2 linked regions of the Macaca fascicularis genome follow. The main gene of each other region encodes a partner of the protein of the gene in region 2 in a complex. Links are inferred from orthologs where the notes say so. Each region holds a gene or a part of one and is shown on either strand. Other genes may lie near its edges. The genes, in order: ACTL6B and SMARCC2.

Region 1 (4,349 bases), on a different chromosome or scaffold from region 2:
GATCATAGTGTATATTGCCTGTCTCAGTCCTGATTAACATACATAGTAATAAAAATGTAAATCTTGGGCTGGGCACAGTGACTCATGCCTGTAATCCCAGCACTTTGTAAGCTGAGGTAGAAGGATCGCTTAAGCACGGGAGTTTGAAGCCAGCCTGGGCAATATAATGAGACCCCATCTCTACAAAAGATTCTCTTAAAATTATTTCTAACTTAAAAAGAGTGTAAATACTGAATATTGATTTCTTTCAAAGTCTAAAACACAACTGGGCTGGGTGCAGTGGATCCCACCTGTAATCCCAGCATTTTGGGTGGACGACGTGGGCGGATCGCTTGAGCCCAGGAATTCAAGACCAGCCTGGAAAACATGGTGAAACCCTGTCTCTACAAAAAATTTAAAAATCAGCTGGGCGTGGTGGCTCATGCCTGTAGTTCCAGCTACTCCGGAGGCTGAAATGAGAGGATCACTTGAGCCCAGGAGACCAAGGCTGCAGAATTGTGCCACTGCAATCCAACTTGGGTGATAAACTGAGCGGAGCCCCTGTTTTTGAGACAAAATCTCAAAAACAAATAACAAACAACAACAACAAAAACAACAACAACAAAACCCACTGTACTTAAAGGAGGGTAATAGAAATATGTTGTGGCATAGGCTGGGGAGGAAAAAAGAGCTAAGTGATCATTTTCTAGAGTGGAAAATTCATTGATAATATCTAAAACTAAAAACTCCACAGGCAGCAATTTAAGTGTAATATTAGAGATATGGAAGAAAATACCCCCAAAATTAGCTAAAAAGGAGAAAAACAGTTGCTTCTATAAAGAGGAATCTATAAGGATATGGGTAAGAACATTTTTAAAAATGCAGTTTAAAAATTTTTTTAATTGTTATTGTTTTGATAAAAGAGATGGGTCTTGCCATATTGCCCAGGGTGGTCTCGAACTCCTGGGCTCAAGTGATCCTCTCGCCTTGGCTTCCCAAAGTGCTGGGATTACAGGTGTGAGCCCACATCCCCAGCTCACCAATGTTGACCAAAATAATAATAAGTTAAAAGGTCTAAAAAGTACTTGGAGGCTGGGCATGGTGGCTCATGCCTGTAATCCCAACACTTTGGGAGACCAAGGCGGGTGGATCACCTGAGGTCAGGAGTTCGAGACCAGCCTGGCCAACATGGCAAAACCCCATTTCTACTAAAAATACAAAAAGTTAGCCAGGCATGATGGCAGGTGCCTGTAATCCTAGCTACTCGGGAGGCTGAGGCAGGAGAATCCCTTGAACTCGGGAGGCAGAGGCTGAGATCTCACCATTGCACTCCAGCCTGGGTGACAGAGTGAGACTCTGTGTCAAAAAAAAAAAAAATTTAAAAAGGACTTGGAGATGGAGAAGGGCAGCAGAGTAGATAGAACAAGAAGAGAGCAGGAGGGATGGAGACTTAGGAAGGAAGGAAAGTGGTTGGGATGGGTGAGGGGAGTCTGAAAAGGGAAGGGAAGTGGCTGACATCGGTGGCTTGAGGGGAGAGGAGGAGAGGTGGATGGTGGGAAGCAGGTGCAGTGGAGATTGGGGTTGGACATGGGAAGGCAGGAGGCACTCACCGGGGCCTCGGACATGAGCACGGGGTGCAAGTTTGGCTCAGACTTGACGTGTTTGCTGTAGGTATGATCCAGGATGGCTCGGAAGCACTCCCAGTCCTCGACTGGGGCCAGAAGAACAGAGTGGAGAAAGGCAAGAGGGCAGGCAGGGGTCAGGGACAGGAAGAAAAGGAGGGAGAAAGGCCAAGCCCAAAGGAGGGTCAGTGAGTCCAGGCCCAGGGGAACATCCCCCCTTCCCAGAAACCTGCTGGGCCCCTGGGAAGGGAACCCAGCGAGAAGAACCCTGGCAGCGAGAAGAACCCTGGGGCTGCAAGGAAGACTCCTTGGGGAGTGGGGGCTGCTATGTCCCAGCGTGGGGAGTGGGCTCCCTATCTGTCAGGAGGTGATGGGTGGGGGCCCCTTACTCATGCCATTCTTGAGGGGCGACATGACCTCCGCTCCATCCCGAGGCACGTGCAGGGCATTGGTGTCGATGTGGAAGATCTTCCCTTTCTTCTCTTTGTCCCCCTCCAGCTCCAGCCCGCCCCCCTCCTCCGCGGCCAGCAGCCCCACCGTGGTGGGGAAATCAGCCTGGTGGGGAAGGGTTGGGGGAGGATCGGCAGGAGAGGGGTCACCCTCTTGCCCCTGTCCAGCCCCACGGCAGGGTCCTCAGCCCGCCCCTGGGTTTATTCCCACATTCCCGCTCAGCAGAGCTTCTGGGCGATCTGGGAGAGCCCTGGGTCACTGGAAAGCCTGAAGAAGGGTCCGGAGCCCCTAGGATTTAGAGAGGAGACTGGAAGGCTCACCTTGGGACAGTCCTCCCCAGCGTACCCAGCGCGGACTGAGAAGGAGCCAATGTCAAAGACCAGCGCCCCCACCTCATCTGTGAGGGGAGACAGGCCTGTAAGGGGACCTCCCCCGAAGTTTTTCCCGCTAGGTAGTTCCGAGAGAAAGTCAGGGCAGAGCCACAGACTCGCCACCTTCAACACCAGTCTGGAGCCGGTGGGAACTGGGCCTGGAGTCTGAGGTCCTGGGACTGGGGGTGGGGGCATCATACCGCCAGGGTCCCTTCTTGCCCACTGGCCTTGCTCAGGCCACCCTCCCGACGGGAAAGGAAGGGGCCGGGGCCAGGTGGAGGTGGGTTGTAAGGTAGAGAGGTTCGGCCCGGTGCGCACGAGAACGGAGCGCAGGGGAGGCGGGAACCCGAGCCTGAGACTGGACCAGTTCATGCGCGGAGGTGACAGGCCCCGGGGTGCCCAGAGCTCGGATGGATGGCGCGGGTTCGGAACGCAGGGGGCCGGAGGCTCGCTCACCTCCGCCGTAGACGCCCCCGCTCATAGTGCCCTCTGCGCTGCTAGCGGCCCGTGGGCGGCGGCGGGATCAGCACCGAGGCGGCCGGACAGCTCCCGGGATCCCTGGCGGGGCGGGGCGCGCGGCGACCAATTGGGAGGCCGGATCCCCCGCCCCCAACGGCGCCGCCGATTGGCTGCCAGGCGAGACAATGACCGGACCGGGGGCCGCGGATTTAAAGGGGAAGATACCCTCCGTTAGGCGACCAGGAGGAGATGGGGCAGGGGGCGCCTAGCAGGGACTTAGAGACCGTCGCTAAGGAACGGGCGGCAGAGAGGAGAGCAGGGCAGAGGCGGAGACCAAGACTCTGCAGGACGACTGATGAGGTCCCTACCCCCTTGCTTTTTGTTTTTATTAAATTTTTTGGTGGAAACGGAGGTCTTCTTACGTTGCCCAGGCTGGTCTCGAACTCCAGAGCTCAAGCGATCCTCCTCAGCCTCCCAGATAGCAGGGATTACAGGCAGGTGCCAGCACACCTGGCAAATTAAAAAAATTTTTTTTATGGAGACAGGGTCTTGCTCAGGTTGATCTTGAACTCCTGGCCTCAAGCGATCCTCCCACCTCAGCCTCTCAAAGTGCTATGCCCGACCTCTACCCCCTTACTTTTTAAAGCAAGACTGGGGAGAGAGCTCCACTCCCCAGAAGGGTCATCTGTCTTCAGGCTGCTCTGAGCCCGGTTCTGCCACACCCAGGCCTAAATGGAATTGCCGGGAGAGGGAGGGAAGGGAAGATTAAGAGAGGGACCAGAGGGGGTGGGGGTGTGTCTCCATCTCTCTCTGTTTTTTTCTTTGTTTGTTGTTTTTTTTTTAGAGACTGGCTGGTCTTGAACTCCTGGCCTCAATGTCCCAAAGTGCTGGGATTAAAAGCATGAGCCACCGTGTCCAACTTCCCTCCTTTGTCTTTCGCTGGCCCCTCTTTTCCTTGCTTTGCTCCACCCCTACCCCCACCACCCCAGTACCTGGGCGTTATACATGTGTACACATGCTTACGCACATATACATACGTTCACACACAGCCCACCTGGCTTTAGCTTCTTTTCTCCATCTCTCTCTCTCTTCAGCGCCTATTTTCCTAAGGAGGCATTTATCAACAAGAGGGTTTTTGTTTCTTTTATTTTTGAATTGGGGTCTTCCGTCACCCAGGTTAGAGTGCAGTGGCACGCTCACAGGTCACCGTAACTTTGAACTCCTGGGTTCAAGTGATCCTCTCGCCTCAGCCTTCTGAGTAGCTGGGACTTACAGGTGCACACCACCACACCTGGTTTTTTTTGTTTGTTTGCTTGTTTTAGAGAAGGGCCCTCACTATGTTGCCCAGTCTGGTCTCTAACTCCTGACCTCAAGCGATCCTCCCACCTTGGCTTCCTGAGTCATTGGGATTACAGGTGTCAGCTGCAGCACCGGACTAACAACAGGGTTTTCTACTACTTGGATCCCA
Region 2 (4,529 bases):
CTCCCAGGTTCAAGCAATTCTCCTGTCTCAGCCTCCCAAGTAGCTGGGATTACAGGTGCCTACCACCACATCTGGCTAATTTTGTATTTTTAGTAGAGACAGGGGGGGTTTCTCCATGTTGGTCAGGCTGGTCTCCAACTCCAGACCTCAGGTGATCCGCCCACCTCGGCCTCCCAAAGTGCTGGGATTACAGGCGTGAGCCACCGTACCCAGCTCAAAGCTGAAATTCTTTAACCCTTGTGCCATTGCATCATGTGGCCTGCAAGAGGGGAGTGAAAGAAACCAATATACAGAAAGCACCACCTTGTGCTAACACTTTACTGGATTATCTCAGGTGCCATTATAGAAACCCTACAAGGTAGGTTTACTAATCCCATCTAGAGATGAAGGAACCAAGACTCATGAATGCTGCCCAAGATCACACAGCCATCAAGTAGCAAAGCCAGGATTTGAACACAAGCCCACACAAATCCAAATCTCAAGTCCGCTTTTAACCATGCCATGAGAGACTTGTGGACTGATCCCAGGCACTCTGAAATAATTTGTTGCACAAAGTATTACTAAGACAAAAAGAATGGTAAACTGGAGACTAGGCCAAGCCAATAATGCCCTGACCAGGGATAGGGATGGTAGAAAATAACCCAAATTTCAAAAATTACAAAATTCACAAATCTTTTTTTAAAATACAACTCTCCAGTTTGGTGGACTCACCACCACCACCCCCCGCCCTCTCTCCTACTTCTGCACTCACCGGCAGTTTAGTGAGCGGTGCATTGCTGACATGTTTGCCAAAAACTTCTTCCTGAAATTGTAGTAACTGTACAACCAGGCTAGACAGGGACTTGTTGGTGGGTGGTTCAGCTTGTATATACTAACGGAAAAGAGGGAAAGGAAAGAAAAATAGATCTCAGATAAATTGTCCACTATCTTCCACATTTCTCCCCCAGGGGCTCTGGAAGTATCTGGAGCAAAGAAAACAGTGCCTTTCTCCCTATTTAGTCTCTATAAAGAAAATGGCAAAAGGGAGGCTCTGGACATCCCAACCAGGAAGCTGAAATTCTGCTGTCACCAGCCCAGATGGCCAGTGTTGGGGAGAACAGGGAAGCTTACTACTCTTCCTCAGCTACACTCTGAAATTAGAGTTGCAGGACCCTATTATCTTGGCACCTCATCCTCAACCAACAGCACTGAGGGTTGTTAAAATTCTGGAGGTTTATAGAGTTCAGATCATGGAAGCAATACCTTTGGAGCTCTAAGAGAGACATTTCTTAGGGGAACTCTGTGTAAAGCCATGATTCCCCCTATAATGTAGCCTAACAAGAAAAGGTACAAGGAAGTGAAGGAGGGCAAGCTGACTGAGAGTGAGCCTGTGCATTTTGCTCCTGAAGACTGGGTATAAAGGTCTTCATAAGCCCTCCTAGACAGGAAGGGCCTCACCAGCCTGATGGAGAAGAGCAAGAAAACATCTACCCTGTCTGAGGAAACTGTATCCGAGACAAGTAACCCTGGCTCTACCTCAATATTTCCACACTTCGCTACCTAGTAGCATCCTAGCCTTCCATTATAATTTGAACCTGAGCCAGGAGACTTTCTTTTTACCTTTTGACCCGTTTTCTCCCCCCTCATCACAAAGAAGACAGCGCCTCTCAGTGAGAGGTGAAGAGAGATAGATCTGTGAAGGGAAAGGTAAATGACAAAGAGCTAAGAGCACGGAAGCTGAACCAGGTCACAGTTGTCAATCCCCACCAAGGCCGGAGGCTCAGCCCCTAGCTTGATCTCCCTGCAAAAGGTCAAAGCAAGAGCCTCTCACAGGCATAGAAACAAGCCATAGAAATAGCAGCTATTTGTCAAGATTCTGACACCCAGAGAGACCCCAAGGGCAGGGCCAGGCTCATAATCAGGATCAGTAGGAAGTTCTCCTAAGCCACTAAGCACACTTCTGACGAGCTGCAAAGCCGGCAGGAAGAAATGGGGAGCTGAAAGAAAGCCACAAAGAGAACCCCTCTCTGAGGGTAGTGAGAAAAAGAGAGGCAGACTATTTCCAGGGAAAACCAGGCCTAGAGACAAAGACGACACCACGAAGAGGTCTAGTAGAAAAGACAGGTAAGGATTCTTAAACCCTTTGTTCACTACCTTATGATCGCCAGTTATGGGGTTTAGGGGTGAGGGGCTAGAGATAGAACGCTCACCCTAACCTCTTGACCCCAAACCCACGGTACTGCAAAGCTAGGTTGCAGGGTGACTTCACTGCAAAATCGAGGAAAGGTTTTGGAAGGGGTCGCTACCCAGGAACTCCTATACCCCAGCTCCCTGAGAGATTCTGTTGCCTCTTAGATGAAGGTGGGGGATGAGCGGCGGAGACAGGTGATCCCTGGGTGGGGACCTTTTTCAAGCTGATGAGCAGCCAACGGCTTGCTCTGTGACTGTTTACCCTCCTGCTTTCCATCCTCTCTCTGAACATACACAAAGCACCGGGGAGGCCTCAGCCCCACCGGTACCCGGCTCCATGGGGAGCTCTGGCGGGCACGTTCCGGGTTGCGGGGGAACCCATTGGGCACCCGGTCCACACCCGGCCGGCCGCCTCTCCCAGAAGAGCCAGGAGGGCGATGGCTGAGGGGAAGGTGGGCTAATGGCACCGGGGCCTGCCGGGCAGTAGAGAAAAACAAGGGGCAGAGGGCGCAGCAGTGGGGGCGGGGGCTAGGCTCGGAGGCTAGGGGTGCGGGGAGAGGGAGGCTGGGGGAGGGGCGCGGGCGCGCGGGAGGGCGCGCGGGGGGCTGCTCCGAAGGCCGCAGGGGAGGGGCTGGGGCGCCTGGAGGGTGGGCAGGATCCCGGAGCTGCAGGGCCGCGGTCCCTTTGTCCCGCCCCCGGTCCCCGCGCGGCCCGGCCCGGCCCGCGTACCTTCTTGTAGTTCTTGCCGAGCCACAGCCGCACGTTGTCGAACTGGGTCACGGTGTCCGCGGCCTCGTAGTACTTCACGTTGGGGCCGCCGTCCTTCTTCCGCACCGCCATCTTCTCGGGCTCGGGCCCCGCCGCCGCCCGCCCCACTCAGCTCAGCTCCCGCCTCCTCCGCCTCCTCCTCCGCCCGCCTCCCGCCGCCTCCCGCCGCCGCGGCCGCCGCCTCCCGCCGCCTGGGCCGGCCCCGGTCCGCGCTGCGCCCCCTGCCGGCAGGCCGGGCGCGGCGGAGGAGCTCCAGGCGCAGGCCGACCCTGGTGGCCTACCCGGCAGCGGCGGCGGGAGCCTCCGGGGAGAAGGACTCTTCCTGGAGGGGGCGCCATTCTCCTGAGATCCCTCTTACCAGACGCGAAGCCCTTCCCTCTTTTTGCCTCAGCCCGTTAGTGTCACCTCGCTATCCCACTCCAGGCGGCCGCCAGTCGCTGGAGCAGCCCCAACCCGTTGCCCCGAGTGGCCCTCACCTTGCGCATTCCTAATCCGACGGAGCCCCTCGTCCCCCAAAACCCCAAAACCCTTTCCCCAAGAAGTTCCTTCCTTCCATCCATTCCCAGCATCTCCCCATTTAAACTTTTCTGAGTCTCCCTCACCCCTCGCGCTTGTCCACCCAGCAACCCCTTCACTTGTTAACCCAAAAGTCCCCTAGCCGCCACCTTGGGGACCCAGTGCCTTCCTCAACTGCTTCCTCCGCTGGCCTCGCTGTCGCCTCCTAAGTAGGTGTGAGCTCCTTGAGACTCCGACTCTTCGCTAGGCAGGAGACCCTCCTTCCCTGGGTCACCCGGTCCATCCGACTCTTTTTCTCTGGGTGGCGTAGATAGGAGGTAAGGAACCAAGGGGTGGGGAGTCCTCAGGTGAGTGCGCGTCGAGGCCGGTACCCTGCTTCCGGTTCCCGCATGTAGTCCCCGATTGCAGTGCGGACCCCTTCTGTAAGCGCGCGGCAAAATGCGGTTTTGGAAGTCACGGTGGCCGAGTGGTTAAGGCGTTGGACTCGAAATCCAATGGGGTTTCCCCGCACAGGTTCGAATCCTGTTCGTGACGGCTTTTTTTTTTTCTTTCTTTCTTATTATTAAGACGGAGTCTCGCTCTGTTGCTCAGGCTGGAGTGCAGTGGCGCGATTTCGGCTCACCGCAGCCTCCACTTCCCGGGTTCAAGCAATTCTCCTGCCTTAGCCTCCCGAGTAGCTGGGACCACAGGCATGCGCCACCACACTTTTTGCGTTTTTAGTAGAGACGGGTTCACCGTATTGGCTAGGCTGGTCTCAAACTCCCGACTTCAGGTTATCTGCCAGCCTCGGCCTCCCAAAGTGCTGGGATTACAGGCGTGAGCACCGCGCCCGGCCTGACGGCGACTTTTTAAATCCCACTTCACAACACGTAAAGGTAACCCCAGTTCTCACAAGTGTCTTTCGTGCACTTTCTCTCTCCAAAAGGAAGCCGCCAACAGGTCTTACCCCTGTATTTGGGAGAATGGGAATGATCTTGGGAAGCTTAATTATGTACGACTGTGTTGGCTGCTAGACTGTGAGGCATTTTCAGAATTTTATAACTTCAGGCTTGCTGGGAGAGCTTTGGCACATGTCT

The links.
Region 1: SMARCC2 (region 2) and ACTL6B share a complex: the UniProt entries of both Homo sapiens proteins name them as parts of the BAF complex. The link is inferred for Macaca fascicularis from reciprocal best matches to the Homo sapiens genes SMARCC2 and ACTL6B.

Annotation. Positions count from the first base shown.
Region 1 is NC_088377.1:49,244,070-49,248,418, forward strand, and holds the start of ACTL6B (actin-like protein 6B), read right to left. Parts: upstream 2,986-4,349; 5' UTR 2,904-2,985; coding exon 2,879-2,903; intron 2,449-2,878; coding exon 2,372-2,448; intron 2,340-2,371; exon of another isoform or gene 2,157-2,339; coding exon 1,991-2,156; intron 1,691-1,990; coding exon 1,590-1,690; intron 1-1,589. UniProt on the Homo sapiens protein: Involved in transcriptional activation and repression of select genes by chromatin remodeling (alteration of DNA-nucleosome topology).
Region 2 is NC_088385.1:62,975,050-62,979,578, forward strand, and holds the start of SMARCC2 (SWI/SNF complex subunit SMARCC2), read right to left. Parts: upstream 3,035-4,529; 5' UTR 3,010-3,034; coding exon 2,899-3,009; intron 872-2,898; coding exon 752-871; intron 1-751. UniProt on the Homo sapiens protein: Involved in transcriptional activation and repression of select genes by chromatin remodeling (alteration of DNA-nucleosome topology).